4 linked regions of the Arabidopsis thaliana genome follow. The gene in region 2 interacts genetically with the main gene of each other region. Each region holds a gene or a part of one and is shown on either strand. Other genes may lie near its edges. The genes, in order: AG, ICU2, TFL2 and FAS1.

The links.
Region 1: of ICU2 (region 2) and AG, changing one suppresses a phenotype caused by changing the other (phenotypic suppression), as found in Arabidopsis thaliana (one study listed by BioGRID).
Region 3: of ICU2 (region 2) and TFL2, changing one enhances a phenotype caused by changing the other (phenotypic enhancement), as found in Arabidopsis thaliana (one study listed by BioGRID).
Region 4: of ICU2 (region 2) and FAS1, changing one enhances a phenotype caused by changing the other (phenotypic enhancement), as found in Arabidopsis thaliana (one study listed by BioGRID).

The regions. Positions count from the first base shown.
Region 1 is NC_003075.7:10,380,948-10,388,889, reverse strand, and holds AG (K-box region and MADS-box transcription factor family protein), read right to left. Parts: upstream 6,035-7,942; 5' UTR 5,210-6,034; intron 4,979-5,209; 5' UTR 4,974-4,978; coding exon of another isoform or gene 4,850-4,973; coding exon 4,744-4,849; intron 1,909-4,743; coding exon 1,819-1,908; intron 1,745-1,818; coding exon of another isoform or gene 1,737-1,744; coding exon 1,663-1,736; intron 1,561-1,662; coding exon 1,499-1,560; intron 1,412-1,498; coding exon 1,312-1,411; intron 1,226-1,311; coding exon 1,184-1,225; intron 1,100-1,183; coding exon 1,058-1,099; coding exon of another isoform or gene 1,025-1,057; exon of another isoform or gene 928-1,024; coding exon 731-927; intron 622-730; coding exon 618-621; 3' UTR 351-617; downstream 1-350. Other genes in the region: AT4G18970 (GDSL-like Lipase/Acylhydrolase superfamily protein), read left to right, coding at 1-15. UniProt on the Arabidopsis thaliana protein: Probable transcription factor involved in the control of organ identity during the early development of flowers. Is required for normal development of stamens and carpels in the wild-type flower.
Region 2 is NC_003076.8:26,775,225-26,779,986, forward strand, and holds the start of ICU2 (DNA-directed DNA polymerase), read left to right. Parts: upstream 1-1,728; 5' UTR 1,729-1,769; coding exon 1,770-2,876; intron 2,877-2,968; coding exon 2,969-3,139; intron 3,140-3,224; coding exon 3,225-3,308; intron 3,309-3,396; coding exon 3,397-3,471; intron 3,472-3,557; coding exon 3,558-3,622; intron 3,623-3,794; coding exon 3,795-3,885; intron 3,886-3,977; coding exon 3,978-4,163; intron 4,164-4,395; coding exon 4,396-4,559; intron 4,560-4,667; coding exon 4,668-4,762. Other genes in the region: AT5G67090 (Subtilisin-like serine endopeptidase family protein), read right to left, coding at 1-1,097. UniProt on the Arabidopsis thaliana protein: Polymerase alpha in a complex with DNA primase is a replicative polymerase.
Region 3 is NC_003076.8:5,826,657-5,831,465, reverse strand, and holds TFL2 (uncharacterized protein), read left to right. Parts: upstream 1-1,705; 5' UTR 1,706-1,928; coding exon 1,929-2,288; intron 2,289-2,601; coding exon 2,602-2,627; intron 2,628-2,707; coding exon 2,708-2,815; intron 2,816-2,927; coding exon 2,928-3,683; intron 3,684-3,765; coding exon 3,766-3,826; coding exon of another isoform or gene 3,827-3,844; exon of another isoform or gene 3,845-3,914; coding exon 3,915-3,962; 3' UTR 3,963-4,295; downstream 4,296-4,809. Other genes in the region: AT5G17700 (MATE efflux family protein), read left to right, coding at 1-81, 179-265, 346-441; AT5G17680 (disease resistance protein (TIR-NBS-LRR class)), read right to left, coding at 4,313-4,809.
Region 4 is NC_003070.9:24,318,896-24,325,921, forward strand, and holds FAS1 (chromatin assembly factor-1 (FASCIATA1) (FAS1)), read right to left. Parts: upstream 5,197-7,026; 5' UTR 4,985-5,196; coding exon 4,526-4,984; intron 4,403-4,525; coding exon 4,303-4,402; intron 4,222-4,302; coding exon 4,074-4,221; intron 3,992-4,073; coding exon 3,868-3,991; intron 3,737-3,867; coding exon 3,372-3,736; intron 3,291-3,371; coding exon 2,985-3,290; intron 2,464-2,984; coding exon 2,382-2,463; intron 2,306-2,381; coding exon 2,168-2,305; intron 1,904-2,167; coding exon 1,490-1,903; intron 1,416-1,489; coding exon 1,278-1,415; intron 1,185-1,277; coding exon 1,011-1,184; 3' UTR 501-1,010; downstream 1-500. UniProt on the Arabidopsis thaliana protein: Component of the chromatin assembly factor complex (CAF-1) involved in chromatin assembly following DNA replication and DNA repair. Assembles histone octamers onto replicating DNA in vitro.

The sequences.
Region 1 (7,942 bases), on a different chromosome or scaffold from region 2:
CCATACAAAATCTAGTAACCGGAGGCTAGGAAAATGAGCTTGATTATGACCATGATTTATTGAGAACAGGTATGGAGCCATCCGATAATGTTTGCTCTTGGTTTACGAAATGAAGCTAGGCAGAGATAAGCTATTGTATGTGCATTTAAAGAAAATATGGTTAATACTCTTGTATGTGTTTTCACCGAGCAAGACGCGAGATATTGAGACCGGGTGGTGAATGTATTCCTGGTAGGCAGCTACAAAATGAACGAATGTTTCGACATTTTGCAACTGTACCACATGGGGAGAAGGAGGAGGAGGATGGAACTCAGCACATGAATATATATCATTATCATATTGAGACTTTTCTATAATAAAATCATTAATAGAGCAGGAATTGGTAATTAAATACAACAATTGAACTAATAGTACACTTATACACATAGATGTTTTGAAGCAAATTAAGCACATTAATGACATGTCTTTAAGATATTAATTTCACATCAACATAAGCATAAAATTCACTGATACAACATTCATGGGATAAATATATATATAACATGCATTAGCTTTATATTGCTTGCTCAACCCAATTCTGGTTTTTATTCACTCCCGGCCATTTCCTTCAGCCTATATTACCTACAAAACAGCATAAAAGACCAAATCCATGCTGTCAAGTTTTACAAAATGGACCGATTAATAATATAAGACTAGAATGATTGATCGGAGCAAGATTTTGTGTCCTTACACTAACTGGAGAGCGGTTTGGTCTTGGCGACCCGCGGATGAGTAATGGTGATTGTTAGGTTGCAATGCCGCGACTTGGAAATAATTCCGTGAATCAAACGGTTGAGATTGCGTTTGAGGTGGTGGCATAAGCTGCTCGTAGTTAGATCCTCCTGGCATTAGACTTATACTCGGATTGTTCCTCTCATTTTCAGCTATCTACATTACACAAATATATGTCATAAACTATTTATCTACAAGTACTTTCACCATTTTAATCGTTTTCATATAATATTTATTGAAACAATAGGGAAAATTATAGAAATTGATATATAATGTGTACTTTTACCTTTGCACGAAGAATCTGGTTATCGTTATGCAAATCAACTTCCTGCTTAATCGGTGCAATGCAAATGAGCAAAATTATTATAAGAACATATTAAGAATAGAAATTAAGTTAAGATTTATTTCTTACTCTTTTCTGCATGTAGTCGATTTCAGAAAATAAGAGCTCATTCTGTAAAATTAAACAAAAATTAGCAACAAGGCATATAGATTTAATTTGATATTATATTGAAGCATTTATAAAAAAAATAGAATTACCTTCTTGGATCGGATTCGGGTAATACTTCTCTCTAATCTGCCTTCCAAGTTCCTGAGCTCTTTGGGAGACATTGACCCTATCGTCTCACCCATCAATTGCCTAATTGATTTATCAACATATGTTAATATATCAAATAGTTAATAACAACCAAGTAATCAAATATTTCAAGTCAGTTAGATAATTAACCTGTTGGAGTTTTGTATGCTGATTATTTGTTGACGCAATTTGGCTGATTCTTGTTGATAATACTACAACAACAACAAAAAAAAAAAGAGTAAAAGAATGAACAATGTTGTCATGTCATCATATATTAATTAAAATCATTCGTGTAATATTAAGTTACCACTTACCTGTGCATTAATTTCTGCCACCGATCCGGTGTTAGAATTGTCCGATATTGCCTTCTTGTACCTCTCAATAGTCCCTTTTACACTGCAATAATTTTTTTAAAGGAATTAATAAGTTAATTAGACCTATTAACTACCTATTTTCTAAACTTAATCTACGCTTAAATCTGCATTTTGATAAGTAATAAAAAATAAAATTGATAGGGTCAAATCGACCACTTGCACAGTTAAGTGATTCTAATACGAAACCTTAAAAGCAAACATCGGTTCTTTTGAGTCAGAAGAAATGCAACTTAATGTGACACATGATGTGAAGAAAAAACAAAAGTAATATAAGAAAAGGGAACAATTAAATAGTTAATAAAATATTTCCTTAAAGTTGTAACAAATAAAGAATCATTTTATGAAACAATATGAACCCTAAATAAATTAAAATTCCTCTGAAACCTTAAATTTATCGAGCTAGTGATTGGCTGCCAACTGCCATGCTGGCAAAATTAGAGTGACATGATTGGTCTGAACATGTCTAGGGTTTCAGACATGTGACATGTGTCAACAACCCATTAACACATTGGGTATAAATCCAATAGACATTTGATAGTATTAAAATTGTAACCATTGGATTAAATTTAAACGTGATGGATGTAACTAAATGACTTGTCCGAGTAACATCACAACGTTCCATACTTTCCTTATTTGGAATATAATTAAATTTACCATTTATTCTTTTTTCTTGAGTTTCCTGTATATGTACTTGTACATAGATATATATACACAAATACGTATTACAATGACATATTATAGACTTTGATGTCTGAACTCTCAACCTTCTCGATGGAGAGATCATGACCGTAGATTTTTTTGGATCGTAGAAGGCAGACCAAACTCTTAAACTATTGGATCCGTACTAAAAATCTCACTTTCCTCTCAGTACCCATAATGAGAGAGAAAATGATAAAAATCCCTAACATTATTCTCTCTCTAGAAAAAAAAAAGATACTTCAAAAAGAAAGAGAAATTGCATAAATCTATCTACACCAAAGATGTTGAAGCAATTCCAATGCTATACTTCTATGCCAAATCTATTTATTCAGTGATCATTAATCTTTTTACTTCCAAGAAATATGAACAATTTAGTATCCTTATAATTTTTGTCTCTATATATGTAATATGAACATTGGGTATTGACCAAATGAGAAATCTAATATTAAATGGTCAAAAGTAGTAATATGATGACATTTTTGAATTTATAAATAGGTTACAAATTAATTCATTATGACATAAAACCTTCTTGTCAGAAGTCAAGAACTGAAACTAACAAAACTTTATAATAAATTAGTAAAAATACAAGTGAAAAATAAAAAGAAATAATATCTGAGTGATGACGTGATCAAAGATTCTTTAACAAAGACAACAAATCTTACAGACCCAAAACCTAATCTTGCGCTCAATTCCAACCTCTGAAAAAACCTCAAAAATCTTATAAAAGAAAATAAATAAAGAAACGAAACTCTGATTTCGTAGAGTACCCATCGGATATATAAAAAGAAATTAGTAGGTAAATGAAGACTAATTTTGATTGACTGATTTAATTTGAAGTCGTTGTTAGCTTTTCTTGTTTTGGACATGAGAATTATATATTTCAGGACATGAGAGTTGACAACTGTAAACGATTAAGAAAATTGATCTTTTAATTTTCAAACACCATTTAATCTTGACATGTTTTATGTTTTGGTGGAGAAGAAAGTAATCACGTGGGACTCTCTACTAATAAGTATTTGGAAATTGCGTGTCGAATTAGAGATTACTAGTTTGAGTAATGTAGTTCGAAATGAGATTAGTTATTTTTAATTTTAAAAAGAGTAATTTTAAGGAATAACAAAAAAGAGTCCCCATAAGCTAATTTGTCTTAATTACCTCCTTGTTTCATTGACTATTTGAAATCTTGAAAATTCAGTTGAAATTTCAAATCTATGTTTCTTTTGACCACTTCTAAACTAATCTTAGCTCATATATAATTTTCCAAAACTACAAAAATAACACTAACATTTAACATTCTCAAGAGAAAACAAAAACAAAAACTTAGATAACCATCTAAATTGTCCTACATGTACGTATAAGTTCCATTATTTTCTATCACTCATATAAGTTAAAATTTCATGAAAACTCAAAAATCTAGCTAGTTTCACCTTATTCACTCTCACTTACCATCACATGTGTTTGTATCAAATATATGATATGATATAATTCATGAGAGAGAAAGAGAGCTAGAGATAAGAAAGGAAAGTAAGAGAAAGAAGAGAAGAAAAAGAGAGACACAGACATTAACAACAATGGAGGATGGATGATCACAAAACAGAAGATATGACCTCATAGTCCTTCCTTACTCTCTCCCCAATTTGTTTCCCAAAACTTACTTTTATAGTCATAAAAATCAAGTTTTTACCTATTACAACACCAGATCTATAAATATATCTAAATCTTCAAGTACTTGTTAGTAAGGAAAATAGAAAGATATAAGATTTTATTATTATTATAATAACAGAAATGAGTGAAGAAAGAACACCCAACAAAGTGAATCTTAGTTCTACAAAACTGAATCTAAAACTCCACATTAGAAAAAACCCTGATGGTTTCTTATTTCTTTTCATTTATTATCTAACTCTCACTCAGATCTCCTTTAACTTTGTACCATTTCCCTCACTTCATATATCTATATATAACAAATTCTCTCTTTTTATTTAAGTCTTAAGGGAAAATTAATATACACATGAAGAACAAGAAATTAGATCTACAAAATTGTTACAAAAACCCCCGAAGTAAATAAAATAAACATATCAAACAAATATTCCCACTAATGTTAGTGTGTTTATATATATATGTGTGTGGAATATGAAGGAAAAAAGTGAAAAATAATCCTACCCATAAGAGCATTCAAGAAGAAGAGAATCAAATCTAGCTTAGAAGATCGAAAACCCTCGTAAAAGATTTATGCTTTAACATAAACATAAAACCCTAAATCGGACTTTAAAAATAATTTAATTATTAATAAAGTAAGAACAGAGCACGAGAAGAAGAAGAAACCTGTTGTTAGAGTACTCATAGAGACGACCACGGCTAGAGAAGACGATGAGTGCGACTTCAGCATCACAAAGAACAGAGAGCTCGTAAGCTTTCTTGAGCAAACCATTTCTACGTTTGCAAAAAGTGACTTGACGATTCGTTGTGTTCTCGATCCGTTTGATTTCGATCTTTCCTCTCCCAGATTTCCTCAAGGGAGAGGAATCTCCTCCTAGCTCCGATTGGTACGCCGTGATTGCTGCTCCAAAGCCAAAAACGTTTAGGGCAAAATTTGATTAGTACAGAATTACAAGAATCCAACAAAAAACCAATCAAGATTTTCTTGAAAAGACTCAAGATTCTTCATGTTTTCTATTCTTTTGAATTATGGTTGAGATTAAAGTTAAACTATAAAGATTTAATTTAATTCTGTTGCCGACACACATCTTATAGAAGGAATTATAAAGTTGAAGAACTTTATTGATCTTACATTCATATTCTCCTAACAAGAGTTAATCAAGAAAGGATGGTAATACACAAGTTATAAACTAAGAACAAAATTGTTTTGTAACCATAGGGATAATTTAAATCTAGAGTGTGAAAAAGAAAAGTTTTAAAGAGTTAAAGAAGATCAGAGAATTTGTGAATCTTGTTTCTCTCTAAATAACATAAAAAGAATCAAATCAAAACGGGAAAAAAGGAAACTAAAGAAGAACAAAAATTTGGTTTAAGGACCAAAAGAAGTGAAGCAAAGTAATATTATGAAGAAGATAATGTTTGAAAGGATTGGGGAACAACAAAATACTAGCCTGACCTGTTGGGGGGAGAAGAACAAAGGGGAAAGTTTTATTTTTCTTGGGAAAATGATTTTCTGGAAAGTATGAGATTTGGAGAAGTTGCAGAAAATGGAAGGTAAGGTTGTGCTGGTGAAGAGATGGGTATATACATTTATAAAGGAATATTTTTTTTCTTTTTAATTTTCTCTACTATTTATCACCATTTTTCCCCACTTTTTACATCCATATAGTGTCTTGTCAATTTGTGTTTGATTACTGGTTTTCTTACTCACTAAAGCATAGTTTTATGAATGGAATCTATGAGATAAGTATGTGTTTCTTCTTTATTAGATAGAGTTAATATACATGTATTTTCTGAAAAGTAATTCTATTTAAACTGGTTTTGGAACATACACATGTTAGATAATTATGTGGTGAAAGTTGATTTTGAGAATTGACAAAAGTTTTGTACTTGGTTGATAGTTATATATGAGGGAAGTATAATTAATTAAACTGGTGTTTCTTTTCAGTACATTTAGACATATGATAGGTTAAAATAAAAGATTGACATAGAGCAATCTAAAGGTTCACAAAGCATGAGTACATCAGCTTTTGAAATCACATGAAAAATATTATTAATAAATAGTGTTAATTACCATAAATAACACCCACCATACATCCGGACTTTTCATAAATATAATACTTATTAAGGACACCCCCAAATTGAGAAATTGTAGAAATGAATAAATAGTTTTTGGAAATGAAGAAAAAAAGAGAGAGTTATTGGTGGGTAGTTCTTGTGTGGTCTTTCACAAAGGTCTAAATGAAAAGAGGGTTCAAGTTGGGCAATCACTCATGAGATGCAGACTCTACTTACCATTACTTGTCTTTGCTTTTCATGTGAAAGTTTTTGAGGCACTAAAATCTTTGGGTAAATCTGATCAGTACATTTTTTTGTTACAACAAATATCGATCTTCTTCTTTGTTTCTAGTTTTTACTAAATCTTGATCTTTTTAAAGAGGAAAAAATTTCAGCTCTATTCCCTTTTCTTTTGTGAATTGTTTTAAAGATTTAAGTGACATTCTGCAGGAAAATTTGTTTCACTAATTAAGGAAGTTATTTATAAACAAATATATGGTGTTGTATATTTGATACCATTTTACATTATTTTGCCAGAATAAATATAAGAAAATGGATTCTGGATACTGAAAATATTAAAGAATAGAATTTCAAAAAATTTATGATAATATTGTAATTACATGATGAGGTGTAATTTATTCCGTATATAGTAACTGATGGTGTACAAATATAAAGTAACATATAAAAGAAAACTGTGTAATTAGATATATGGCTAAACTGATTATTAGTAGTAAGAACCAATATACTTATCTATTTAATGGTGTGGCAAATATAGAATCGAATGATGTAAAAAGAAGGAGAAAATTACTCAGATAGTGAAGAAAATTAGCATACTATTTATGTTAGTGAGATTTGAAGTTGATGATGTTTACTTGTTGTGATATTGACATATAAAAAAAATGATAAATTAATAAGATAAATAGGGTTTTAGGGTTTATAGGGGAAATAGGGAGATGAAGCGTACTTTTAAGGGGCTGGACAAGACGTAGGGCTTAATTTGGAAAGTTATTTAAGTGTAATGCTTCTGACTCAATTAGAAGGTAACCAGACTTTTCTCTCTTCTCCAACTACTTTAATCTCTCTCTCTTTTTTTACATTTTCTTTTTGACTTTTGTCGCCCTCTTCAAGATCACAGCTCTCCATATTGTTTGTGAAACTACTATATGAATATACATAGGTGACTACTTAATAAATTTTGTTGAAAAGTATCTAACTGTTAAAATAGTTCTCCTAATTGGCTAAATGGATTAAAATTTAACCCAAAATATGGATTAATAATCTTTCTTGTTTTATTTGATAAAGATCTTTGTAGCTCGTATGTGGAAGAAAAAAATTGGGTAGATATTTTCTAACATTTTGTTAAATAAGTTATTTTTAAAAAATGTTGAATAATTGAGGAGCACAATGTATAAATGGAGTAAGGTTATGCCAAAAGAAGAGGGAGAGTAGCATGTGATGTGTAGTCTTTGATCTCCATCTTTATGAACCCATTTAAGGTAATTTGATAGAGATAAGAGAAACCTATATGTATATACAGTCCATATTCATATTTATTTCCCTATAACTATATATACATCCACTTGCAATGTGCTTTCTTTTCTTTTGTACTTTTTCTTTCTTTCTTGCAATTAGAAAAAATAGTATAGCTTAACTGCATGTAATTTACCTTCTCTAGTAGTATATTTAATTAGCAAGAGTTAAAGTAAGTTTAGTAAGAATTACTGAATTGAATACTAGTAAAATTTACAAATTAGTACATAATTAGATTTCCTTTACGTCACATGTATGCTTGTATGTATGGAAATTG
Region 2 (4,762 bases):
GAAGGGAACTCTCCAGGAAACAGAGATGGAAAACTGAAACTAACTCTGTTTCCAAACGTTAGGGTTCCTTGAAATTGCCTACCAATTGTTCCCGCTCCAACCGTCATAATCCACGGCGCTCCGTTAATCAAACTCCAGTAATATGGCCCGTCGTTACCGCCGGAAGTAACCACGAAAACGCCTTTTTGAATCGCTGCAAAAGATGCGACTGCGATTGGATCATTTTCTAGACCGAAACCATCATTGTCGTCATCATCCTCAAAACTCAATCCTAGCGACAGAGATATCACATGGACTCCATCTCGAATCGCTTGATCAATCGCTGCGATTACATCTGATGAGTAAATCCCTTCTTCCCACGCGGCTTTGTAGATTGCTAGATGCGCGTGTGGTGCGATTCCTGAGGCGGTTCCTTGGGCGTAAGAGAAGTAAGACGCGTTCTTAACATGATTCCCAGCTGCAATGGCTGCAACATGAGTGCCGTGTCCGATTGTATCGTACGGTGAAGAGTATTGGCCAATCTTGGTTTCTCTCAAATCAGGGTTGTTGGCGAACAAACCCTTGTTGAATACCTTAGCACCGATTAGTTTCTTGTTGCACAAGGAAGAAGAATTGAATTCACATGCTCCTTTCCATTTAGACGGAACCGAACCAACCCCATCGTCGTGAAAGCTGGGACTATCGGGCCAAATTCCGGTATCTATAATACCGATTACTATACCAGCTCCATAATTCGAGACCGGCCATGTACCGGATGTCGAATTTAAACCGATAAACTTTGGAGAGAAAGTGGTATGAAGCTTAACCGGTAAATCTTTGGTGAACGAGACATACCCGGGTTTGTGTTTAAGACGTTGGAGCTCAGAGTTGGTGAGAACCGCGCTAAACCCGTGAACCGAATCGGTATAAGCGTAGATAATCTTTGGTTTTCTATTGGTTATAACTGAAGTAAGAGTTGTGGAAAACCAGCTCCGATGATCGGAAAATGGCAACGGTTTAGCGGATAAGTCCATGTGGATGATGTAAGGAGAGGTCTCCGCCGTTACAATCGCTACGAAAAATGAGAACACCAGAATAATTACGACGGTCATCCCCATGTCTGAGCAAGTTTTTTTCTCTGGTCTCTTCAAAGTGAAATGAATTTTGGTGTTAGTAAGAAACAATTATAGTGTTGTTGTTAATAGATGTTTAGTTTTTATTATGACAAAAAAGTTGCAGAGAATGTAACCTTTACTTGGCTTTTGCTTTTGTTAAAGTGGTTTTAGGTGGTCGGCAACACATCATCTCTCATCATTGTTTTTTTTTCTTTTCTCTTTCAATTGGGCTTTATCATAGAGAACAATGATTTTGGATATGAACTTATTAGTAGTTTCAGCAATAGTTTAGACTTTCGAATCGGTAAATATCAGTAACTTAGAACTCAGGCTGAAACTTTGATTCTTTTACTGTATTTAGCTAGATTCTACACTTGGTGGACTCCATCAGCAATTACTTCACAGACCGAGGTAGCTCCTACAACTCTCTGATGCTTGATCTCGTTCAAATAGATGTCTCATAATTGCTTCTTTTTTGTTTTTGTTTTTGGGCTTTATTAAAGAGGAGTAAGGCCCATTAAGAGAACCCGTTTGTTTGTTGGATTCGGATTTGGCAAATGGATAGCGCCAAAATCGTGTCGATTTTCCCGCCATCTCCATTTCTTAATCTGGGTTCTTAAACCTAAATCAGTTACTCAGCTTCACCAAACCACCAAATTGACCGGATTTGTAAAAATGTCCGGCGATAATTCAACGGAAACTGGACGAAGACGTAGCCGAGGCGCGGAGGCGTCGAGTAGGAAAGACACACTCGAGCGTCTGAAGGCGATTCGACAAGGAGGAATCCGTTCTGCGTCAGGTGGTGGGTACGATATTAGGCTGCAGAAGCCAATCTTCGATACCGTTGATGACGAAGAGTACGACGCACTTGTTTCCCGGCGGCGCGAGGAGGCTCGCGGGTTTGTAGTTGAAGATGGGGAAGGTGGCGATTTGGGATATCTCGACGAAGGTGAGGAGGAGGATTGGTCGAAGCCAAGTGGACCAGAATCGACTGATGAATCAGACGACGGTGGTAGGTTTAGTGGGAGACTTAAGAAGAAGAAGAAAGGGAAAGAGCAAACGCAGCAACCTCAGGTTAAGAAGGTGAATCCGGCGTTAAAAGCTGCGGCTACTATCACTGGTGAAGGTAGACTTTCGTCTATGTTCACATCTTCGAGTTTCAAGAAAGTTAAGGAGACTGATAAGGCACAGTATGAGGGTATTCTTGACGAGATAATAGCTCAGGTTACTCCAGATGAGTCGGATAGAAAAAAGCATACGAGGAGAAAACTACCAGGTACTGTTCCAGTTACCATCTTCAAGAATAAAAAACTGTTTTCTGTTGCCTCGAGTATGGGAATGAAAGAGTCTGAACCAACACCTTCAACTTATGAGGGTGATTCTGTTTCCATGGATAATGAATTGATGAAAGAGGAAGATATGAAAGAATCTGAAGTCATTCCTTCTGAGACTATGGAATTACTTGGAAGTGATATTGTCAAAGAGGATGGATCAAACAAGATAAGGAAAACTGAAGTGAAGAGTGAGTTAGGTGTCAAGGAGGTATTTACATTGAATGCAACGATTGATATGAAAGAGAAGGATTCGGCTTTAAGTGCCACTGCTGGTTGGAAGGAAGCGATGGGAAAAGTTGGAACTGAGAATGGGGCTTTGCTTGGTTCTAGTTCTGAAGGGAAAACGGAATTTGATTTGGATGCTGACGGATCACTTCGTTTCTTCATTCTTGACGCTTATGAGGAGGCTTTTGGTGCGAGCATGGGCACAATATATCTGTTTGGGAAGGTGAATCTCTAGATTTTTCATTCATTTTTAAAGTTGTTCTTTTGGCCTTAATCTAGAGAATGAATTCGGTCTCTCTTTTTTTAACAATTCAGGTTAAAATGGGAGATACTTACAAGAGTTGCTGTGTGGTAGTTAAGAATATCCAGAGGTGTGTTTATGCTATTCCAAATGATTCCATATTTCCTTCCCATGAACTAATCATGCTCGAGCAAGAGGTGAAAGACTCTCGACTTTCTCCTGAATCCTTCCGTGGGAAATTGCATGTGAGTTTGACTACCTTTGTTACATGCTAAGAGGAAGCAATCTATTTTCCTCTGTTGTTCATTGTTTTTGGCTGTGTCTTCTCAGGAAATGGCATCAAAACTGAAAAACGAAATTGCTCAGGAATTGTTACAGCTCAATGTTTCAAATTTTAGCATGGCGCCTGTCAAGGTTTGGATATTTGACTTCTTTTTCATGTATTCTAGCAGCAATACTTTTCTTTTGACTCTCTATTCTGCTCTTTATGTACGAATATCAGAGAAACTATGCTTTTGAGAGGCCTGATGTGCCTGCTGGCGAACAATATGTTTTGAAGATAAATTATTCATTTAAGGTACATTTCAGCTGTTCAAAATAAAACTAAAAATCGTCTGTTTTCTTACATCTCAACAATATGACAAGTTTCCTCTTTTATAACAGGATCGTCCACTTCCAGAAGATCTTAAAGGCGAGTCTTTCTCCGCTTTGCTCGGGTCTCATACCAGGTTCTAGCTTCTTACTGCTGAGTTTCATTACCTTTCCATGTGTTTGGTAGTTGGTTTGTTAAGTTTGTATTTTCTGGTCTTCTGTAAGCTTCTTAGTTAACTATGTATGCTGGCTATGTCAATTTAGCACGGTGCAATTTTTTCATCCTTATCAAAGTTAATTCATATGCAGTGCTTTGGAGCATTTTATCCTTAAGAGGAAGATCATGGGACCTTGTTGGCTCAAAATTTCAAGCTTCTCTACTTGCTCTCCTTCGGAAGGAGTAAGACCTTAAATCTGTGCCATAATCATATAATCAGTGATTTTTCTAGTTCTGTTTATCTCCGCTAATGAGAGGACTTGCCACTTGTGCAGGTGAGTTGGTGCAAGTTTGAGGTTACTGTTCAATCTCCCAAGGATATCACTATTTTAGTTTCAGAGGAAAAGGTGGTTCACCCTCCTGCTGTTGTTACAGCCATAAATTTAAAGACTATAGTCAATGAAAAGCAGAACATAAGCGAAATTGTTTCTGCATCTGTTCTCTGCTTTCACAACGCCAAGGTTTGTTCTACAACATTTAACCAATGCTTCTTAGCCTTTTTTGTTGTTGTTGTTGTTGTCTTTGTGAAGAATACGGATGTATGATCATGGCATTACCAATCACCAGTAGGTTTTCGTACCATGTGGTTTTATATTAACGCTCATTTTGGACGATTGTTTCTTGCTCAAAAGACACTCTTTCTGTCTACATTAGTAGCTTGACATATGATGTGCGTGCTCCTTGATCTTTCAGATTGATGTTCCAATGCCAGCTCCAGAAAGAAAGAGATCTGGTATTCTGAGTCATTTCACTGTTGTTAGGAATCCTGAAGGAACCGGTTACCCAATTGGTTGGAAAAAAGAAGTGTCTGACAGAAATTCAAAGAACGGCTGCAATGTATTAAGTATTGAAAACAGGTGTGTTGCAGCTCTGTTACTGAATAGGCTGTGTTTGTGATCCTTCACATATATCTTTGGCAATTCATGTTGGCTTCGTCCAATATTTTGTTCCTTTTCTTACTGCAGTGAAAGAGCATTGCTGAACCGATTGTTTTTGGAGTTAAACAAATTGGACAGTGATATTCTTGTGGGACATAATATTTCAGGTTTTGATCTGGATG
Region 3 (4,809 bases), about 21 Mb from region 2:
TTAGTGAACTTAGCATCTTATTATGCAATTGGTGTTCCTTTAGGTGTCCTCCTTGTTTACGTTTTCAATTTTGGGATTAAGGTACATCATATATATGAAAACTGGTATCCAGTACTTCATTATGATCAATCATTAGAACTTTTAGAATTTTAACTTGAATAAATGATATTGTATGCAGGGACTCTGGTCCGGAATGTTGGCTGGAGTTGGTATCCAAACGTTGATATTGTGTTATGTTATTTACAAAACTGACTGGGAATTGGAGGTAATTTACTTTTAATATATAACTCAAAATTTTTATTAGAAAATTCGTCATATTAAATGTATAATTTTATCTAATTACAGGTTAAGAAGACAAACGAGCGTATGAAAACGTGGACTCTAAATTTACCTGCTGTACAATCGACTACTATCTCCACAAGAGATGAAGAGAGAAAGTGAACATACAACTAAGTTAATTTAAAGAAATCTTTTAAGAAATTCTTTATAAAAAAAGAAAGAATAATTTATGTTGTATTGTGGTTGTGTTTTGCATTCCCTAAGAATGAAGTATCGGTGTTGAGATTGCATTATTAGGTTAATGCAACTCTCATAACTTTGAAAAAGGTTAAGAAGGATGAACTTTTTCTTTTATCAGAGAAAAAGGTTGTTCTCTTGTTCTTCGGATATACTCTTTCTAAACAAAAAAAAAATTGTGGGAGGTTTGAAATTTTAACTTCTTTCTTGATTTTTTAATGGATGTATATTTTGTGTGTGGGGAAAAAAATTCCATTTGTTTGAGTGCTTGTAATCGTGAATTTTTACAAAAAAAATATTCTCATATATATTTCGAGGAAACGTTACAAACTTTCATAAGCTCACCATCAAATAAAATACTCATTTATTTATGTTGAAGTCAAAACGTTCCATTTTTCCCCCTATTTATGAACCGATCCTAATGAATGTTTTTTTTCTTCCTTTTTACTTCTTTCATATCACCATTTTAAATAATAATAGTAATTATTATTTTTCTAACGTTTAAACAAAAAAAGAACTGCAAATTTTATAGTAACAATTCAAATTTAACAAAGCGATCAAAACATGCATCATTTAGTGTACAAGTACTAATCACAAAGAAACAAGTTTTGGTTGGACAAAGTATAGAACAAACACACTAAACTGAAGAAAATAGAACTTTAGCCCACCAAAAGTTGAGGCTAAAACTCGAGCAGTAATCACATAGTTACTATCAAGATAACTATACTTTGGAATGAAAGAATCTGAATCTCGATGAAGTTTATCTTGGAGAAGGACTTTCTTTTCTGTTGGTTTGGATGAGATATTGCTGAAAATTATTGATGATGATGTTAGGAGATCCAACTAAGTTGTCTGCCTTTGCAGTGCACTTGGAGACTTGGAGTGAGAATCTTAGTTTATGAGACTTATTTTCTGATTTTTCAATCTCCTTTGATTTTTTTTTAAGTTGTAATAATGTCCTAGTTGATTTCCTTGTAAAAGGAGCAAGAGCACGATGTTCTTTTATTTCTAATTTAAAGAAAATGTTTTCAGTTTAATATATTTTTCGATTTAATTTACCTTCACATATTTTCTTCAGTAGTATTTATTATTTTCATATTAGTAATTAGAAATAATCTCTTCTAATTAGATTATAAACGTTAAGAATTTGCTGTATTCAACTTTTCCTATTGTGATATTAAAAAAAAAAAAAAAAAAGAGAATCCAAAAAAGTGAAAAAACTGGTCTTTGAGGTCAGGTCAGGTCTTCTTCCTGCAAAAACAAAAACCTCAGAAATAGAGAAAAAGTTTCAATCTTTCTTCATCTTCTTCCTCCAAAATCCTTGATTTCTAAAAAGGAGAAGAAGAGAAGAGAACGCGATTACCTTGATTCACCCTCCTCCTTCAGGTTTGGGAGGCTCGAATACTCAGGAAATGAAAGGGGCAAGTGGTGCTGTTAAGAAGAAACCCCAGGTGTTGAACGAAGCTGGTGAGGCGGAGACGGCGGTGGAAACAGTCGGAGAAAGCCGGAAAATTAGTGGAGACGGTGGGTTTGGCAGTGACGACGGCGGAGGGGGAGGTGGAGGTGGAAGTGGAGAGTCGATTCTTCGCGAGATTGGTGATGATAGGCCTACGGAGGATGGAGATGAAGAAGAAGAAGAGGACGAGGATGAAGATGATGGAGGTGATGAGGAAGATGAAGAAGGAGAAGGAGAAGGTGGGCAAGAGGAAAGGCCAAAGCTTGATGAAGGGTTTTATGAAATTGAAGCTATTCGTCGTAAGAGAGTTCGAAAAGTAAGCTCCTTTTTTCGTCTTCACTCAGCAAATGTGGTTTGTTTTTGTTAACCATAATTAGTTGAGGTTTTAGGTTTTCTAGGTTTAAGATAAGTATCAAACGTAGGTTACACATTGGTGTGAGAAAGTGGCTGCTTTAGTAGTTAGTAATCATCGTAACAGAGTAGTTTATAACGAACCAAAGTTTTGATTCTGTGGTTGTTATATGTTGTAGGAAGAAAATGATCTTTAATGTTTGATATCTTCTTGGATTTGATTGATTGAATGATTCTGATTCTGCATTTTGGTACTGTTTTTTTTTTTGTATTTGTAGGGCAAGGTTCAGTATCTAATTAAATGGTGAGTTTTTCTAATCTTACTTGGTTTCATTTTTAAGTTTGTTGTTCTTGATTAAACATATGTTTTTCCATTGACATAAGTTATAAACTCGGTTGTGAAAGGCGCGGATGGCCTGAAACTGCCAACACATGGGAGCCTTTAGAGAATCTCCAGTCTATTGCTGATGTTATAGATGCCTTTGAGGGAAGGTAAGTAAATGGAATCTTATATAAAAGTTTTGTGATACTTTTGAATTGATTGTTTCATGGATTTTCTTGGTTTAATGTATGGATTTGCTTTCTTGTTTCATATGTTTCAAAGTTTGAAGCCAGGAAAGCCTGGTAGGAAACGGAAGCGCAAATATGCAGGTCCTCATTCTCAGATGAAGAAGAAGCAACGTTTAACATCTACATCACATGATGCTACTGAGAAATCTGACTCTTCTACGTCTCTCAACAACTCTAGCCTTCCTGACATTCCTGATCCACTAGACCTAAGCGGTTCGAGTCTATTAAATAGAGATGTGGAAGCGAAGAATGCTTATGTATCCAACCAAGTTGAAGCCAACAGTGGGAGTGTTGGGATGGCCCGACAAGTTCGTTTGATTGACAATGAGAAAGAATATGATCCAACACTTAACGAGCTACGAGGACCAGTCAACAATAGTAACGGTGCAGGATGTTCTCAAGGAGGAGGCATTGGTTCTGAAGGTGATAATGTAAGACCCAATGGCCTTCTCAAGGTTTATCCTAAGGAGCTTGATAAGAACAGTCGTTTCATAGGTGCTAAGCGGAGGAAGTCTGGTTCTGTGAAAAGATTCAAACAAGATGGATCCACAAGTAACAACCACACAGCACCTACAGATCAGAATCTGACACCAGATTTGACTACATTAGACTCTTTTGGTAGGATTGCAAGGATGGGGAATGAATATCCTGGTGTGATGGAAAATTGTAATTTGTCTCAGAAAACCAAGATTGAGGAGTTGGACATCACGAAGATACTTAAACCAATGAGTTTTACAGCATCTGTATCAGACAATGTCCAGGAAGTGTTGGTGACCTTTTTAGCGCTGAGGTTTGTCTCTTTAGCTCTTTGGTCATTTCTCGTAATTTGATTTCATATTTGTACAATTGTACTTATTTGGTTACTCTCATAGGTCTGATGGGAAGGAAGCATTGGTGGACAACAGATTTCTCAAGGCTCACAATCCTCATCTCGTAAGATTATCTTTATAGCTTTTTTTTTCTGCACTTACTCATTTGGAAGTTTCTTATTAGCTTTTCTAATTTGTTTTTCCCACACCAGCTGATTGAATTCTATGAGCAACATCTCAAGTACAATCGAACGCCTTAAATCATCCGGAATGGTAAGAATTTGTTTGTACACAGCCCTTGTAGGTAGAAAAGATTAGATGGCTTCTTTATTCTAGCAGTGCAACATGTAGAGTCGAGGTAGCGACAATTGGATTTTGTATCGCGTCTCCGGGAGGTTTCAGATTGTAATTTATCTCCTCGGGTTCGTTGTGTTCACTCTCTATCTCTATCATAGTAAATCTTGTTACTTGGACCTTTGCTTCTTATAGCGGAAGTTTTCTTGTACTTGCTTCTTCAAAGATCAAGTTCATGATATGTTGATGTTATCAAAATATATGTGATCAATCAATATATAATAATTATGTTTACAAGCAAACCAAGTAATTTTTTTTACTTTCGTATGACATTTCGCTGATGTAATTTGGAATGACGCTCTCGAGCCAAAGGAACTGGAAGAAACTTGATCCTCTTGGGATTTAGTTGTTCCTTATGCAAGAACTCAGTTTCATATGCTCTTCTTTTCAAAATTCTTGCGTCATCAAATGCCTTTGGAAGATCCAAATCAGAACTCTGAATTTTGTCAGAGTCATTAGAGAACTCTTGCATCATGTCTTTGAGTGATATAAGGTGTACCGCACATTTTTTAACCTCTCCAAGCGGGCTAAAGGAATCTCCTTCTGTGTTTTCGACTGAGAATTCAAACAGGGCTTCGCTGTAAGCTTCCATGGACGTGCAGGTTCTGCTGAATAAGAGAAGGTGATCTGATCCAAAATACATGTTTGTGAAAGCTTTTGGATCAGGATACCACACCTCATCCATAACAACCAGCTCACAAGCATCAGCATCTTTTAATATACAAGAGCAGTGTATCTTCAGATTGTTCATCG
Region 4 (7,026 bases), on a different chromosome or scaffold from region 2:
TTTCGTGATGGCTTCACTTTGCATTGCTATTGCTTTATTTTACTTCTTTGACGATTATAAACACATTATGGTATTTTATATTTGTATACGGTTGAAAAGTGAACGTTATAAAACATCTATTTTCTGCTACTTTCTCTAAGTATAAACAAGCACAAAAGATTTAAAGGTGATTTGATATGGAAGTACGTAAAGGAAATTTATAGAGACTTTTGAGTACTGAATAAAAACATTTCTTCTTAACCATTTATCATTCCCTCACCTAAAACGCTTTTACCGATCTTATATAAACATCATACATTTGTATCCACAAGAAACCGAAAAAAGGATGTAACCAAAAAAAAAAGATGGAAATTATGAGTCTTAATTAAACTCGCGCGTTTTCCAATCTCTCTGCCTCTATGGACTCCAAATTTTGTTAAAGATAATAAGTAGCAATATATATTAAGAGAAATGTTATTTGTTTGGAGATCTTAACATGTAATCTAGCTTATTAGTAAATAATCTCATTCTCATTAATTTGGTAAAAGTTACAATTGGGGGTTTATATACAATTGACCAGGCCTAAACCAGAGCCTCTTAACCAGCTAAACCAACCTATACAGACTCCAGTTAAAACTATACAAAACCAGAATATTTACAATGAACTCTATATACATAATATAGCTTTGTAGACAGATTGATTTCGAAGTCGTGAGAAAACTTGCGAAGAAGAAAAGATGGAGGAGGCTGAGACCGCGAGGAAGAAGAAGTGAAAACGATTTAAACGGTGTCGTATTATAAAATAAGGGTTTATGATTACTCCCAAGTTTTAAAGCCTTTTTAACAGAACAAAACATCTCGCTATTTCATGTTGCTTCTTAATACTTAAACCATTTTATCATTTCCCTCATCTCAAACATTTTTACCGATATTGAGCATTATACATATCCACAAGAAGCAAACAAAAAGGATTTAGCCAAGTTGAGGGATGGATGTAACCAAAAAAATAAAGATGGAAACTGTGAGTAGACTTAAGCATTTTCGTTTTCCAATCTCTCTGCTGCGTCTTCAACTGCAGGTTGTGGTTTTGTGGATGGAGGTAAACAACGTTTTGAGAAGAATGTAGATATCGTTTTCGGTAATCTCTTACCGCCTTTATCTGGTGACGGTGATAATCCAAGCTTTGTCAATACTTCTTTCTTTACCTGCTCGTTAGAACAAAGGATCGCGGGAATGGTGATAAGCAACTATGTCTCAAGGCAAAAAACTCAAAATAGAAGATCGAAGTATTAACTAACCTGCCAACGACTATCCTCGAAATCTGATATTTCACGCACTTTTTGTCTAAGCTTGGTCTTTGGAACATCAGGGAACTTCTGCTGTAATGTTTCAACTACCCTATTGATACCTTGAGAGCATGATTGAATAGTTGATACCTGGACGCCAAATTCTTGTTAGGGCTAAGTAGCAATACATAAACAATGTTATTTGTTTGGAGAGATCCACTTACAACTGTAAGCAAATCTGAGTCTGGTATGATTTTTGCTTTTGAATTAGATGGAGGAGTGCTCTGGCTACAAGAAAACTTGCTGGCTTCTTGATCTTCATCTTGAATGTCGTTGATCGATATCTCAATGAGAGAAGACCAAGGGAATTGTCGCACCATGAGAGCTCGCAGACATATTTGTTCTACTTTTTGTGTCCCTTCTAGATCTTTAGCAGCTAAGAGAGAGACCTTCTCATGAGTTAGGTTACATATGATCAGTGGCTGCGTTTTCTTCAGAGCATGGTCAGTTAAATTTTGCAGATGTTTTTGTTGTTGGAGTAATGCGCAAAACTCTGGACTTTCTTGATCTTGCTTAGATGATGTCGTATTTGCATCCTGTTCAGACGGATCAATGTCCATTCTGTCCACTTGGACCCCCTGAAACAAACAACACACTTTGTTAAGAAACTTTACATTCGTTATAGCGTAGCTGCCTTTAGTTAACTATCCCCTTCACAAAATTGGCACATGCTCAAAGAAAATGAGTGATCAATTATAAGAATGAATGAGGAATTCAAGTTGTAACTTGATCAATAGTTTGGATACTACAAAGAAATGCAAATTTGACTTCAGCAGATTCCTAGATTGCAACCTAGATTTATAAGAATCTATGACGAGTTCATTAAAAATTGCTTTTGTTACCTCATCTTCTGAGAGATATCCATCAGGCACCATAAAGTCATCTTCACTATCATCTTCATCATCAGCCTTTGAACATCCTTCTTCCAAACTTTCGTCTTCATCTTTCTCACAATCTGAAAGGCTTTCACCAGCTTCTTCCTGTAAAGAAGTATCTTTATTACCCAGTGATCTTTTGTCAAGTTTAAAAAGCATGTACTGAATTCAATAAACCTACCTCTTCCCATTCTTCATCACTATCAACTTCATAATCCAATTCTGGATCCTTTTGCAGAGGACGACGTGGCTTTACAACTTGACTGCAAATGTTAAACAACAGATCCCTCAGTACCATTGTAAGCAAACTTAGAGAGTGAACACTACTTAATTGAACAGCTAGATGCATATCAGAATAACAAATGGTATTGTCGTATCAGAATCACAGAGAACGTTCTGTACATTACAAGTTCACTACAATGATTGTTCAATCCAAATTGAAATGCATTGGACGATAATAACCACAGATCCAACATAGACGATGGTTAGTTAATTAAGGAATCAGAACAGGGTAAAGTAGCGTAAAAGTATGTTTACTTCATAGGTCATTTATCATCTGCTTTATTAAACACCATGAAAAAAGTAGTCACATAGGCAGCATCGGAAAACTTTATGACTTATGCAGTGAAAATTGAAAAATGTTTCGCAACAAAGCTAATATCAAAAAACAGTACCAAACAAACCCAGGGGAAAGCTTGCAGTTAGTCAAGGCTTTTTGGCTAACTAATAATCTATATTATATAAGCTTACTGCTGAAATGAAAATTTTCAAAATAATTACTAACCTTTGGCTGGGCCAGATACCATAAAAGCCTGGTCTGCAGCTTTTATCAAATTGTAACAACTGCTTGACCCTCCTGGACTTCTTACGATTAGATGAGGAAGGCTTACACTGCCTACCATCAAAGTTATTCTCTTCACATCCATCCCCTTGCTTCTCCATGTTAGGTTCACCGTCAGATGTTACTCCACTATTTGTAGATAGTTTTAGTTTTGGAAACAGTTCACTCTTAGGCTGCCTACGCATCCCCCAATGTTTTTTCGAACTCGAGAGCAAATGACCCAACTGACGCCAGGAAGCAAAGTGTTCCCTACAAAGAAATACAACTCAGATCACAATACCCAAAGTGACACCTCACAGAATCAATCAACAAGGAGAACCAATGTCATACCTGCGAATATCATCAACTGTAGCTTCACAAGTTGTTGAAAAGGCGTTGTCAATTGCCTGAACAACTTTTCCAATTTCATTCTCATGTTTTGTACATGACAGCTCCTGAGCAGTTACTTCACTGGAAGGAAGTTTGGGTTGGGTCAATGAACTATCTTTGCTCTTTTTAAGAAACCGTTCCATGATTGAAGCTTGTTTCTGTACTTGAAGTTGCTTCTTTAGCTCGGCTTGTTCCTTCTCTCTACGCTTCTGCTCCTTCTCCGACTCATCTTGCTGTTTCTTTATCCGTTTTCTTGACTCTGTCTCTTCTTTTTCTTTATTATTTTCATCAACAATTGCTTTCTGCAGTAGCTTCTGCTCTTTTTCCTGTCACAGTGAACAAATGCTCAGTCAGAAGTCAGACTTTGAAATCAAACAACACATCCTAGATGACTAAAAGAGAATAAACAGCGCCAGAAAAGACTTCTAGAAGACAATGAAGAAAAAGATCAGCTTACTTGTTGCAATTTTTCTTTCAATACTTGACGTTCCATTCTCTTCTTCTCCTTCTCAGCTTCACATCTATTTTTCTCCAATTGTTTAAGAAGCAGCTTCTCTTCTCTCTTTGAGTCTTTCTCAGCCCTTAACGATCAAACACAATAACTGAGTAAGAATGAAAAACAAGAGATAAAATGTAAACCAAGTACTAACAGAAGATACTTACATTTCTGAGCTGTTCTTCTGCATCATGTTATCCATGAATGATCGAATATCCACCTCACTCAGTATTTTACCAAGCTTCTCAGCAGCTTTACTCAAATCAGATCTCCACAACTTTTCAGTTTCTTCTCTTTGTAATGCAGCTAACATTGCTGAAACACAACATAGGGCATAAACACTCACATCTTATAAACAAACAATCAATACGAATCACCACTAAAAACAACATTTACCAGAAACTGCTGTAATCCTTTCATGAATCTTCTTTCGACAAGTCCGGCGAAGTTTTAACACTCCACGAACGGAACTCGGCATGATTTTCAGATCTCTCGTCTACAACATCAAATAAACATTACATCTCAAACATTAAATGACATCACCAAAGAGTATAAACCACACCAAACTTACCATTAGATTCAAAGATCAAAACTTGTAAGATTAGCAAACTAAGATTACCTCCCAGCACCAAAGACAAGATTCAGAATCATCCTCCAAAACATCAGCATCTACGTTAAGCACACCGTAACTAACTCTCTGACCAACAGAAACAACAGCACTCTTCACAGCTACCATAGTAACACTTTCAGTCTTCTCCTTCAATTTCAAGTAAATCTCATCTACAAGCTTCGACAACGGCAAACTCATTTCCTCCATTAACAAAGCCACCATCGAATTCAATGAGGAACATTCACTAAATCCAGAAAACAGATCTGTTCTCTTACTCTTATCCATAACTTCTCTGAAATAATCAAAAAGCCCTTTCATCTCTAGATTCAACGACGAGATCTGAGATTCTTTCTCCTCAGATGTTAGATTCTCAATCGCCGTGGGTTCTCTCTTCCGCTTATTCAGCTTCTTTGGCTCTATCATCGTCTTCCGATTCTCATTTTCATTCACCGTCGAAACTTCGTCCATCGCAAAAAAAAAAACTAGAAAAATTCGGGAATCTATAAACCCAGGAAAATTGAAACAAGATCTAGAATCTAAGAAATCGATTGCGAGAAACACGAGCTGAGTGGAGATTTGTTGTTCCTTTCGTGATTTTGATTTTGGATTTTTTTTTTCTCAGAGTTCTTAGGTTTTTGGAGAAGAAGAAGAAGAAGGGAGTGGGAAGATGGATAGGTTTGAAAAAAAAAAAGGATAAAAAAATAAAATTGGGGATTCACTAAAAAGAAGGGTCGTTGATTTTCCCGCCAAGGTTTTGACGGGTGGATTTGCCTCCAAATGACAAAAATGCAATTTTACTGTTTGGCGCCACTCAAGTTTTGGAGAAGATGAAGGCCTATGTGGGCCTGCTTTTGTTTCTTTTAAGCCCAATATAGTGGGGGAAACAATTGGGATGACATATAAATAGAGACTAGAATTTACTAATTTTAAATACTCATGCGGATGCGGTTATATAAATAGAGACTAGAAATTACTCATTTTAATTTTAATTTTAAGCCTAATACGGTCATGGTGAGCAAGAGCTCCGAATGAAACCGAATAATACTTTGGATACGATTTATGAACGAGGTAAGAAAGTGAAAGGAAATGAAGATTTGTAGCAAGAAAAGGGAGGGAGAGAAGATGGTGAGGTTTTTGTTCACTGAGCATATGTTGTTGACTGACCATATGAGGGAATCAATTGATGATGAATGATGTGGTAGTAGTGCGTGTTAATTTGTCGTTAGAAAAATGTTTGAATTATAATTCTTCGCTTTAATTTTCTTCTAAAAGATACTAACAGTCATACTAATTAAGAATGAGTAATTGGTTGGACAATTCAATAAGCAAACAAAGTGAGTTATTAAATGGCTAGTGTTTTTATTTGCGGCATTGTACTAAACGAAATAACAAAACAAAATAGAGAGATGATTTTCTGTAATTGTAAAAATAGGAGAAACCAATGAACTGACGTTTTATTCAGTGTTCACTTTTCAGTAATAGGAATCAGATAAAGAATATTTCTTTTATTTTCAAAATTTTTTAAAAATATCCCAAAAAGGGTGATAAGATTTGGTGGCCATTAAAAATGCTACTTTTATGTGTGAGCTTTTTGTATTCATTCCCACGAGGCTACCCTCACGGCTCAAGCATCTCTCGTCATGCTTCTGACGTTCTTCATCTCCCTTTGGATATGCCATTTGCATGATATGATACATTATACATTGATAGCTTCATACTAAATAATGCGTTTTAAAGGCTTAATAACAAATTAGTATAATGTAAAATGCTATTTGAATTTATTCTGTATATAATGTTTTTGAAAAACTTAGGAAATAGTGATGCATTGCAACAAATTATACTAGAAAATATCATGCTTATACCATTTATGGTGACGGCATAAAAAACTTGTGCAGTTGGAACCTTAAAAACGATATTTACGTAAATTATGACACTAAATGGTGCGTTTAAACGATTAAACGTTTATATTTATTGCAATACATCACTATATTGCAACAAATTATCTAAAATATCCAACCTATGCTATTATTCATAATGGCGGCATAAAACTTGTGCAATTAGACCCTTTTAAATATTCTAAGTAATTACGTCAAAAAAAAAAAAATTACACTAGATATTTGTTTTCATTGAAAAAGATCACAAACTCAACGTCAACACAGGATGGTCTAAATTAATCAACGTGGAGATGAAAGTTAAGAGCTATTTTAAAGGCACAAATTTTTATGTTAAAGACTTTTGTTCCTAACATTCATTTCCACTTCCAATATAAGATAATTCTAACATTAAAAACTTATGGTGAAAAAATATTTTTTAAAAATTTTATCTGATTTGGGGTTCAAAAATATTATAAATAAAAATTCCATAATTTCTAACGAACATTTGCTGAACAAAAATCTATTACTTATTGAACCAAAAAAAAAATATGCTATTTTTCTCATTGAAAATCTCATTGTTTTTAACCTCTCTTCGAATTACATTCGTATGAATCACAAAAGTTTATATTTAGGAGC